Xenopus tropicalis: one gene and its partner. The protein of the gene in region 2 purifies or fractionates together with the protein of the main gene of each other region. This does not show direct contact. Links are inferred from orthologs where the notes say so. Each region holds a gene or a part of one and is shown on either strand. Other genes may lie near its edges.

Evidence for each region.
Region 1: the proteins of dpf2 (region 2) and arid1b purify together in Homo sapiens (affinity purification with mass spectrometry; 7 studies listed by BioGRID and IntAct, counting the BioPlex papers as one, with this or other methods). This does not show direct contact. The link is inferred for Xenopus tropicalis from reciprocal best matches to the Homo sapiens genes DPF2 and ARID1B.

The regions. Positions count from the first base shown.
Region 1 is NC_030681.2:52,263,994-52,270,327, forward strand, and holds part of arid1b (AT-rich interactive domain-containing protein 1B), read left to right. Parts: intron 1-2,180; coding exon 2,181-2,363; intron 2,364-3,999; coding exon 4,000-4,318; intron 4,319-6,334. UniProt on the Homo sapiens protein: Involved in transcriptional activation and repression of select genes by chromatin remodeling (alteration of DNA-nucleosome topology).
Region 2 is NC_030680.2:32,337,445-32,343,778, reverse strand, and holds part of dpf2 (zinc finger protein ubi-d4), read left to right. Parts: intron 1-133; exon of another isoform or gene 134-148; coding exon of another isoform or gene 149-189; intron 190-2,743; coding exon 2,744-2,904; intron 2,905-3,864; coding exon 3,865-3,972; intron 3,973-4,854; coding exon 4,855-5,015; coding exon of another isoform or gene 5,016-5,066; intron 5,067-6,146; coding exon 6,147-6,239; intron 6,240-6,334. UniProt on the Homo sapiens protein: Plays an active role in transcriptional regulation by binding modified histones H3 and H4. Is a negative regulator of myeloid differentiation of hematopoietic progenitor cells. Might also have a role in the development and maturation of lymphoid cells.

The sequences.
Region 1 (6,334 bases), on a different chromosome or scaffold from region 2:
GTGCAACAGTGCTGGAATGCTGCATTATGGTAAAAAAAACACATGCCGAATGCACTGGAAATTGCACCTTGTGCACTGCACTTGCAGTCGCAAATGACCCCTCATAAGTAAACATACACATCTTAACCTCTTTTAGACAGACATAAATAAGAAACTTTGGTGAAATTTTAACAGCTTCTTTTAACAGGTTCATAATGCTGGGAATGGTGATGGAAAGCAAGCTAAAAGCAAACTGTGCTTTTTCATTATAAATGTCATTCAAAGAAAATAGATTAAAAATCTCTCATTTTGATTGCAAAAAGCAGAAGAATGTATAATTTTGTTCATAAACAGAAGCTTTGTATTCATTGTTATGTTACTCAGGCTCTGAATCTGACAGTGTTACTTGTGTAAAGCCTGCCAAGCAATTACATTCTCCTGAATATTACTTAGTTGGTTGCCAGGTCTAAAATTAAAAACAGTAGAAGTTCTGTGCGCTTTTCATTTAATATTTCATCCTAAGTTATATGACACACATGCATAAATACACATTTATGCATAGACACATATATTCATACATGTATATATTTACAAAAGCTTATACACATGCATATATACATATACACACATAAACATGCATACATTTAGTCATATAGCCATTTAGGATATAAGGGAAGTGTAGGGCTTTTATCTGGGTTGTAGACCAGTGAAAACAGGGGAAATTATTTAGAGGCAGTGTTCAAGGTTTTGCAGTTCAAAGAATCAACAAGCTATCATCATGAATCTGTATTAGTTAACATGAGTGGGCCTTTCCATCCAATAAAAACAACAGGAGCCACCGCTTATGTGCTAATTCAGCCAAACTTATCAAACTGCAGGAGACTGCAAAGTACCACACAGTGCAAATTGGAGATTGTTCCTACTGAAGCAAATAATAAAGTAGATGCCAGTGTGGTGTGCATTGCCATTTACTTTATTATTTGGTTTACATTCTGTTTCTGCTTGAAGTAGCAAAGGGAGAATTGCTTTTCCTTTTGCACTTTCTTAGATATCTTAAGACTTGTCCCTGTTTGTTATTGTTACTAGTGAAGTCAGACCCCAGTAAAGTCACCGAACACAAAAACATTCAGATCTGTTCAGAGTTCTTAAGCTGTTTCCAATATATCTGGTGCCATTGAAATGACTGGATGTCAGTGTATTAAGGAACAGATCCGGACACTTTTGTAGAGGGGTGAGACCATAATTAAATGCAGAAACTATATGATTGGGAGATGTCATATAGTGATAAAATACTGTTAAATCAAGAGAGAAGTGTACTTGTCCTGCTGGAAAGCATAAATATTTCAGTAGACCTACACTGAAAATGTTACAATAACAAACTGTTAACCTGCCAGATATAGCAGTATACTTTATATAAATGAGGTATAGAGGATTTATTTAACAGGTTTTAAATTACATTCAGAATACTTAGAAAACAATCATACATTACCTTTCTTTGTCTTATTTGCACTTGCTGGAGGAAGACTGATTTCTGATTGATTGATTGATGCACTGCTGCTATTTTTGGCATGTGCTCCCTAATCTTAACACCTGGTACTACTCAGGGCAAATTTGTTTCTTCTGTGCCATTGATTCCATGAGGCAAGTTAGAAAGAGATACTTACCTCAGTTGTCATTTTACTGCACTGAAACTGTAATTTGTTTTGTTTTTTAACTGGAAATTCAGCCTTTTAGTGTAGAGATCAATCTGTCATTGGGTCTGCTGGTCTTAGTGACCAGGCCTGGCTGCACTCCACATGCATCAATTTGGTTTGGCTGATTGTGGTCATAGGGCCAAACCATTGTTAAGTGAATGGCTCCTTTGGGAGGCAAATACTCTTGTACCATTGGTTTGCAGTTGGTCTATGAAGTATGTGGTCATGCTTCTACTTGGTGCATGAAAAAGCCACAAGCAGATTCCAAAGTAAAAACTGTCATAGTTCGCTACCCCATCCATTCAGATAAAATTGTTGGTAAATACAGATGGTCATATCAAACAGTATGTAATTCTGTTGTCCTTGTAGATTTACTGCACTGTTTAAATGTTTCTAGGATCCAGTTTGTGGTAGACTTGATTTATAAACACATGTGGTGACAAATGTTCGAGAAAATGTAGATGTATTTAACATGCATATTTATGATATCTAATGACTATATTTTAGGCTTTATATCTGCTGTGCAAAGGAACAATCAAATACCGCAGTATGGACCTCAGCATACTGGCCCACCGATGTCGCCTCATCCTCCTCCTCCTGGAGGCCAAATGCATCCTGGTATGGGCAGCTTTCCCCAGAGCAACTCAAGTGGCAGCTATGGGTCTCAGATGGGTCAATATGGACCACAGGGTAAGGTGTAAATGTCAGATTTAACATTGATGCTCAATGACAAAGTGTAATAAATGGGTAATAAGTTTAGTTTATATTAGAATATATATTTTTATTATGTTCAAACTACTTTAATCTTTAAGGCAAGAAACCAGACTTACTCATTCTATAGGTGACTCAAGTGCTTAGCTGAAAAGGTACATTTGAAACAACCTCAGGTCCTGTTTCTTTAAAACAATTAATGATTAATCTGTGATATGCATAAATTATATTAGTTTAGGTTTAATGGTAGAAGGTTTCGTTTTAGGTTTACTGATATATAAATTAAAATTTCCTTAACAAAGGCAGGCTGATAGTAGCATTGAGTAATAGGGGGAAAGCACACTTTTGCAGCCCTGTAATAAAATATGAATATAATTCAACAGATATGGATATGGCAAAGTTCCATTAATTGCTATAAGAAGTCTTTCAAAGTTGGAGTAACTTCAGATCCCATATTTTGTCAACTTTGGGCTAGTCCTGTAAGCAGACACTGGAATCTGAAGTCATCTTGGGTTGAGAGTAAGAGTATTGTGGTATAAATCATACTCACATTGACATCTGCTGTTAATGACAGGGTCAGCTTACAGGGGCTGCCCCCCAGACAGAAGTTCCCCATCTTTTTGCTAGGCAGCAGTTGTCTGGAGAGTAAAAGCTGGAACTACTTTTTTTACTACCTTACACCATCTTTTAGCAGATGTGCGATCCTAAAATCAGTGGGGCTTCTAAGTGCTGATTTTAATCACTGCAATCTTGCTCCACTCATCTATTGCTCCTACAAGTTTGGAACAATTTACCATCTGATTAATTATTGCAGTTGTTTAGTTCTTGTTACAACAAACTGCTAAAACCTACAACAATACATTTCTCTGTGTCTTCTGCAGTGATTGTGATCATTTGAACTGACTAAATAGCAGTCATATATAACAATAGGCACTGCTCCTTTGAAAATAACACACTGGATTTCCCTTTCTTTTAATAGCAAAATGAACTGGGTGGAATAAAACTGACAGCTTTGATTAGAAGTCGCGCATTTTGCCTTGGGTGGTCTAGCTAACTTCAGTAGTAACTTATGAGCAGAAATGAATGTAGGCTACTTGTGCCCTGAAGCTTTTTCTTGAAAAGCTTTGTGTTATATATATATATATATTTTTTTTTTTTTTATTTTAACCTCTTCACTAAAGGTGGAATTGTCTACAGGCTGCAGCTCCTGCATTCCGTTTTCATATGCTATGTTCTTTTTTTTTCTAATTCAACAATAACCACATTTTTAATTTCAGGATTTTTTCTGAGGTGCTCCTCACAAATGGAAAAAAAGGATGGGGATAAGCCTATTTCATATTACAGCTGACTTATTAACACCATGGAAAATTGCATTACCAGACAACCTCAGATAGCATTTGGCAATGCAGAGCCATAGTTTAGTTTAGTTTAGTTTTAAAAGGAATAAATTAAGTTGTCAGTAGGCCCCACATTTTTTTCAAACTAAAAGTACTTTTAAGGCCCAGTTTCTTGTTGTTTGCTTCTTGAGTTTAGATCTTTGCCAGTGACATAAATGCCAGCCAGTCATTTGCAGTGAAATTATTTATAGGTTTTTTGTTTTTTTTTTGTATTAAAGGCAATTATTCAAGGTCACCATCTTACACTGGAGTCCAAAACACAAGCTACAGTGGTCCTGGCCCAGGCATCAATATGAATGCCAACAGCCAGATACATGGACAAGGGCCAAGTGGATCTATGAGTATGGGCAGGATGCCTGGGAATGCAATGCAGAACAGGACATATGCCACGAATATGGGTAACTTGCCCCCCAACTCTTCCAGCATGTCGCAGCAAGGAACTCCAGGAATGGGACCACCAATGCCAACTGTGAATCGTAAGGCACAGGAAGCGGCTGCGGCTGTGATGCAGGCTGCCGCAAATTCTGCCCAAAACAGGTTTGTTTCATTGATAGTATATTAAATAGCACTGAGTAATAAGAAGTGTCTTGTAACCAATCCAATAAGAATAGTTGTAGAGTGTGACACTCTCATATATTTTTGTTATCAACTAAGCAAGCAAGTTACCAAAAATTTACATTAATGCAGAGCACCTTAAAAATGAATTAAAAATAGCTCAGAAACGAAAGGGGAAAAACTTGTCACTGTCCCCACAAATAGCACAACATATATACAAGGGAATAAACCTAGGCATTGGTAACTAGAAAGTGCCTACAAAAAATGACATAATACATACAGGAATGCAGTAGTCAATACAATCATTTAATTGTGGTCACTCGCTGGTTATAGTTAATAACAGTTGCCATTGGTCACCAGCTATAATCTATGATAGACACATGATATAGATCACTACTAGCAAAAATGTGCATGCTTTTATACAATAACAGATTATTATTTAAATGTTCCTACCTGGTTTGAATTCCATAAATAGTACCATTATTTTACGGTCCTTCAAAGCTGGCATCACCATTTCAAGTCAATAGAAAACATTTTGGAAGATTTTGGCACAATAAGTGATGTAGCTGAATGCATCAATTAATGTAGAATTTTAACTGCTGGCTGCTTTTATGCCAGAATTTACACTTGGTATTACTGTCATATAAATATGCTTACTTTAAAACAGTTACCCTAACCCCTGCGCTTCTTAACCATCGGCTGACTTGCCCTGAGGTTGGGCAAGGAGCTTAAAGGCCCAACCCCTATCTCTTCACCTGATATAAAAGATGATGTCAGGGAGGGGGAGGGCTGTGGTAACGCCACATACAGTACTGTGCAATGGTGACCCTACCCAACCTGCACCTCTTTTACTGACCTCTTTTAGGAAGCCTTGGTCCTTGAATATACTAGCCGTTTAGGTGGCATCCTTGGTGTTTGCAATAAGGGAACAATGTATAGTTATATACAAATGACTTCATGTACAAACAAAAATTTCCATTTTAGGTCCTTTAGCTTTTGAATCCACATAAACGTATGTTTTTTGACAGTCAGTATTAGGTAGTTTCAGCAAACTAGCTGGTCTGTGCTTTACAGTTTATATAATCTATATTTTCTACCAGGATACTGCTATGTTTACGTCATTAGTGCATAGTATATGTATATTGTATCTACACGTATACAAATGAGTGAGAGCTGAAATATTATTTCCTTTATATAAAGCTGGGCACAAATACTGATAAAATTAGACACTTTTATCAGTTTGACTTAAACTAGTTTTCATTCTGATTTTTCTGCCTGTCTGCTAAGGTGATTCCAACTAAATATGCTGGTAAATATGCTCAGATGAAGATTGAAGGGGGAGTGTAATTACATATCAGCTGAGCATATTTACTGACTTTACTGCCTGATCCAGTCATTCAGGTGACTGCCAAAGGCCTGGCATGGATCCTGTATCAACCCTTCAGCTCACAACATGTGTTGCCAAAAAGGTAATCTATTATGCAACCACGCTGGTGCCAGCCTCTAAGCATTCCCTTAGCAGCATCCTCTTATGCCTCAAAACATGATGTTATATTTATGGTATTCTTTTATCAACAATGGGCAAATTTGCCCTATTATGGGAAGTGATATGGCAGTTCTCTTTCATATATATACTTTTGAATTAGCTGGCAGACCCCTAATTGATTTCTTTTATTAATTTCCAGAAAAACAGAAAGGTAACTTGTACTTACAAATAGTTTACCTCTAAATGCCTTAGTGAGCAACTCTCCCACTGTGCTGGAAAGCAGGATCTGTAACAGTCCTAGAATGAGGTCTTCATGAGACTCAATGTGGAAAATTAGGACATTACATTGAATATATATATAAACAATTCAGTTTCTGCCGATGAGACTAATATTTAGTGCAAGAAAACGGTCACATGCTTATGTTGTAGGCGAATTGTATCCAATAATGTAAAATAGTAAGTAAAAGAATAGTGTAGCTTCAGGCTTCAATGACTAAATTAACTGTATATTT
Region 2 (6,334 bases):
AGTCGTAAGGTAAATCAGGCAGGCTTAGTTTCCCAGGCAAGGCCGCAGACAACATCGCACAGGAGGAGGCGTTTGATAGCTTTAAATACCCCCCCACGCATGCGCAGAACCGGTGCCGTCAGCGTGTCGCGGACATGCACACTTTGACATGTGCGCAACGTCCCGTGAGACAACGGGACACGCGCACGGGTGAGTACCCTGACACCCCGGTATTGCGGTATCAGAAAAATGAATATAGTTTTAAAAAAAAAAAAAAAACACCGGTATTCGGTATTAAACGGTATATCGCCCAGCCCTAAGAGTATAGTGTTACACATTGATGGCACAACCCCATACACCAGAGCAGAGCTGGTCTGGCCCACAGCCATGTAATAGTATCACTGCACTTCCTTCCTGTGTTAAAGCAGCAAATTGTAACATGTTAAATCCTCTTTGTAACAACTGAACATCTACTGTAAACCATTATCAAACAAATGTACTTTGTGCAAGATGTACAATGTAACATTTTCAATTTGTTCCAGACAAATTGTTCTCTAACTGCTTGCCATGCAGATATTAATGTGAACACAGATAAGTTAAGCTTGCTTAGTATTAATTGTAAATAGGTGAAAGTGATACATCTCATTACGATGTTTTACTATAGTGCTATATTTAATTTAGGATTGTAAACTGGCTGCTTAAGGGTGACTTGGCCAGTATGACAAGTTTCTGCCAAATACACCCATAGTTGAGGAACCCAGGCCTAGTTGAAGGCTTCTCTGATCCATCATATGCTATTTGTAGGATGGTGCAGCAGGTTTATAGGTGTAGAGAACTCACTGTGGCTAGTTCTTTAGATAATGCTTTTATCCAGCAATAAAGTGCAATCAAAAGGGTAAGTTATATTTATCTCACAATGTAGCAATTCTTTATGGCCAGTATTCAAGCCATCATTATTACATATTTAACCTGTAGTGGTTTAGATCGTATCCGAAACCTGGTCCCTACATCAGTGTTTTTCAACCTTTTTTGGGCAAAGGCACATTTGTTTCATGAAAAAAATCACGAGGCACACCACCATTAGAAAATGTTAAAAAATTTAACTCTGTGCCTATATTGACTATATATAAAGTAATTCTCTTGAATAGGAATCAAACACAAAGAAAGTATTTTCCGGGACATTTTCTCCACAAACCCACCCCCCCACTGATTTTTTTTTTTTTTTTATACACACAAAAATTTTATATTATATATATATATATATATATATATATATATATATATATTATTAATTGTTTTCTTACATGTCAGGCTGCGGCATACAGGGGTGTCCCGGGATTGTCCTCCGGTGGGGAGTAGGGCGGCTGTGCATGGGCCTGGCCCCTGGTGGATCTGGTCTGTCGGGGCAGGGCCTGGGCAGTTGCTCCCCCCGGTCGGGTTGTGCCAGGGCAGGATAGTGCTGCCTCTCCTCTCTGGTTGCTCCGCCCTCCTGGATCCGATGCCGGAGTGACGATTTCCGGGCATCAGGGAGCCAGGAAGTGGAAGGTGTCCCAGAGGGGACCGGGGGCGGTTGAAAAACGCTGCCCTACATTACTACAGTTTTTCAACCTAATCCTGTGGGCAGGCTAGCTGGAAGGACTGTACTGATTGCATTTTGTACAGCTTAGAATTGCAAAAATGAAGACGGATGGTATCTTCCAAGCAGGTGTAATAATTCATGAAACTTCATTAATGGAGTTTGCTGTTGGGGGCCTTGGCATTTTGTTTTTCTCATTAAGCATTTCTTTTCCAGTGTAACCTGTGTCGGTAAAGAACAGATGAAATATAAACAAACCCAGTGCAGAAGCTGGGGCGCACAGAATCCTAGTTTAACTAGAATCTGCCATTGCCAGCTACTGTCACTACACAATCCTTTAGTCAGTTCTTCATCCATTACAAAAATAGCATCACCAAGACCAAAAGACATTTATTTAGAAAGCCAACATTTATGCAGCTCTGTATCAAAACCTTTTGCCAAAGACCAGTTAGCTCTACTGCAGCCCCACTGTTTTTAATGTATCTGCTACATTAAACAAAACAAGTTAGTTGGTTTGGCACAATCTTTATTTTTTATTTTTTTTTGTTATAAATTATTATTGCCTTTTTCCAGAGCTGGGGTCCCCAACCTTTTTTGCCCTTAAGCCACATTTAAATGGATAAAAAAGTTGTGGAGCAGCACAAGAATGAATAATGTACCTGAGGGTACCAAATAAGGGCTGTGATTATTTGGTAGCCCCTATGTGGACTGGCAGCCTGCAGAAGACTGTCCAGTACACCTGGTTTTTATGCAATCAAAACTTTCCTCTGGGTCAATAATTCAATAATGAGCACCTTCTTTAGGCTATTGGGAGCAACATGTTGCTTCTGAGCCATTGGTTGGGGACCACTGCTCCAGAGCATAATCTTGAGGTGGTCACTTAAGTTTCCCATCAGATCGGGGACTACATTGGCTTGTTAATCCGACGGCCCATATACATATATAATAATTTGATTGTTTGGCCACCTTCACTGTGCTCACACAGAAATGATGGGCCCACATATATATCTAGTGAATGGACAGAGCTCTTTTATTTTGATATGCGTTATCTGTTAAAAATTAATTCTGATGAAATAGTTTTCCATTGATAATTTCAGCACAACCACCACACAGGCTTCCAGTTTAAAGCGAGTGAAGCAATTTGCTCACATCCCATAACTTTACAAATATATATATTTTTTCTTCTAGCCTTGGAGAACAGTATTACAAGGATGCCATGGAGCAGTGCCACAATTATAATGCTCGCCTGTGCGCTGAGCGCAGTGTCCGAATGCCTTTCTTAGACTCTCAAACAGGGGTGGCTCAAAGCAATTGCTACATTTGGATGGAGAAGAGACATCGTGGGCCAGGTAAAATATTATGTCCTGTAAGATTGTATAGCTTCTTAACCTGTCTGTTGCTGGCCCTGCATAGCATAGTGCTGCAAGATCCCTTTTGTACATTCCCATGTGTTTAAGAATTGACAGAAGTTGCAAGCCCCTGTTAATTATGCTTGCAACAAACTCAAGCAGATGGCCTTGATTTAAAATAATAACTGTGACACTTTTCGCAGAGCTGAAACTTAAATGATGACCATGAATGTACTGAGGACCTAGAATCCTTGCAATTCACAAGAAAAGTTTTTCAAGGGTCTTAATGTGTATATGGTTTAGACTTGAAAGTGCTCAGCCCTCAAAGGTATAACAGATTATGTGCTACTGAAAATGTACTTGTGTTATCAAACCATACTAATACCACAGAAATATATGGAATATTTTGAAGTTTATTATCTATGCCCAGGTAATTTCTTACCCTTGCCAGGATTTAGCATTTTAGATTTCAGGGCATTCTTCGGAAACCTACTCCAAACGTTGCTTTTTATGCTTGGACATTAATTTAAGTATCTATTCTGCAGGCACCAGGTTTCAAACCTTCTGTCCCTTAGTTACTAAGGCCCTTAATTAAAAATTGAAGTACTGGAAGTACTGGCTGTGTCATCAGTAAGGAAAGAGCATGTTCATGAGTTGGGCACAATGTCATCTTAGTTTGTGCCCATCTTTAAGTTTAATTTTAGGGGAGGGATACAGAAAAGGAAGAAAGAAGCCTACTTTTTGTATAGAAACACAACTGCAAAAGGAAGTTTTATCCCATACATTCTGTATAAATCCTCTATCAGATGTCTTTACAGAAAAGGGTTAAAGATATGCTGATTTTGATTATTGGTAATTTACTGAGGCTTTACTAAATGATTGCGTTTTTTTTATTCCTCCCCTCCCCCCCAAAAAAGCATTACCTATGTTTTGGTAAATTATTTTATTTTGGTTTTTAAGGTTCTGCACCAGGGCAACTTTATACATATCCATCTCGACGCTGGCGCAAAAAGAGAAGGGCACATCCCCCTGAAGATCCCAGGCTCTCTTTCCCATCTCTCAAACCAGGTAAAAGGGGGCAGGCTTTTCTGAGCCCAACATCACTGAAATCAAAACACTGCACTTAAGGGCTAGTGAGTTTTTTTTTCTTTTTGTCTTGTAAATACACTTTCCATACACAAAGCAAAAAAGGCATTTGTTGAGAATAGCAACACAGGGCCAGCCTGGAATATAGTTACAGTTCATTTTGTTAGTCATAGCCTTGTTGGCTTAAAACAAAGCGAAACAGCACACTTCTTCCACACCAATATTTTCAATTATTCAGTGCAAATTTCAACAGTAATCACGTGTTACAATATTTACCAAGTCCAAGTTTAGCCTTGTTTGCTTTACATAGCTAAACCTGCAGAATATTAATTGACTGTGCTAGAGGACATAGAAAATCAGTATAGTTCTTTGGTTCTTGTCAAGTAGCAGTAGGGCCTTGTTTCATGGCTTAATGGGAATTTCATTTTATTTTCATGTTTTGATATAATCGTGATGAACATTTTGGAACAAATATTTGTATACCTAATCTTTCATGAGATATATGAAAGAGGTGTCTGTAAAACAATTGGCAGGTCAAACCTTTGTTTTTTCCCCTTACATTGAAAATGTTAGGCAATAAAAAAGGCATTATTATATTTTGCAGACTTTAGATTTGTGGTAATTTTTAGTAAGAAAACCAACAGTCTTCCGATGTGTAAGATATATTTAGAGCAAATACAATTTCTTTTTAGAATAGCAGAACATTTATTAGACTATTTTCACTTTACCTCGACAATGGATGCACTATTAAAAAATGTTGAATGTGCATGATAAACAATGTCCATTGATTTTTGGTAATTTAGAGGAATCCAATGGAAAAAAGAATATATCTTTATCAAAACTTAAGGTTATTGTGCATTTCAGACCCCGAACAGATGTTAAAGAAAGAGGGCTTAATACCACCAGATGGCAGTAGCCTTGAAGCTCTTCTGCGTTCAGACCCCATTGAGAAGAGAATTATGCCAGACCCCCGGGATGATGACAGCCTTACGGAGTTCCCTCCTCTTTCCAGAAGCGCACGGAAGGTACAGGCCTACGGCGAGCGGCAGCGCTACGTAGCAAAAGGGATAATCACGGTAAAGACAGCGAGGCAGCATGAAGCCTGGGGGAATAGACAGCAGCATTAGTCTAATGTTCGCTATATCAGTTTCTGTGAGTTGCCTGTTTGGGAGGAAAACAGCATATGAATAATTTTCATTCTGCTTGCATAAACTAGTCTTTCTTGTTTGCTGATTTTTACTTACTAAATGATCCTTTACTAATGCTCATTGCACTGCTGTAAACATATCCTATGTGAAAACCTCCCCACAAAAGGTCACAATACAACTTGCTACGAAGTAGAGCAGGAAGGAGTATTCCGTAAATAATCACCTGAAGTTTTAGACTTACAGAAAGGGTTGTAATAATAATTTTCTCTTTTAAATATATACTGTGTGACATTTTCCTGTGATATTAGATTATTGGTAATTTATTTTAGTTGCTTGCTTGTGACATAACTAGGCCAAGTAAAGTGATAGATGACTAAAATCATACTGGAAAAGTATTTGTTTGACAGAACTGTATCATGAACCTTGACAAATGGTTGCCATTTCTAATATCATAGGCTTTTAGATTCTAAGCCGCTTGGGCATTTAGTCACTGATGCATGCTTAGTAGCTGTTGGTAGCTTTATTAATCACGGTGCCTAGTTTAGAAGTTTTTGCACAAAGGGTGTAATGCTTAATCTTTACTATATTATCCTTGTAACACCTATGTCACATGGGGTATTTTGACCACCAATGCACTCTGGTGGTCAAAATGCTTAAAATTTAACAACCAGGATAAATCTAACTTCAGCATTTCTGAGCATGGTCTTCTGTAACCATCTCTGTCTGCTATAGGTGGAATGTTTAACATGTGTCGCTATGGAAAAAGTGGTGATGGCTGATTTTTGGATATCGACCCTTGCAGTTCTCCAGCAGATGCTAAGGCACTGCAGTGGTCAAAATGCCGGTGACATAGGTCAAAATGCTTAGACATGGCAAGCTGCTTCCATTTAAATGTATACAGGATATGGTATTTTTTGCAGTGTTTTTCAGGTTAGAAGAAGTAGGATAATTAACCACAATCTGTGACTTGCCTTTCTTTACATTAACTGTATCCTTTTATTCCCCTAGCGTATCTTGGAGCCTGATGATTTCTTAGATGACTTGGATGATGAGGATTATGAAGAGGACACGCCAAAAAGACGTGGAAAAGGCAAAGCCAAGGTGAAATAGAATAATATAATAATAATGTGTTTTTTTCAGACCCAGTCATTGGAGACTAGTTTTCTTCTTGCTATGAAGGCAGGATGATCATGTAT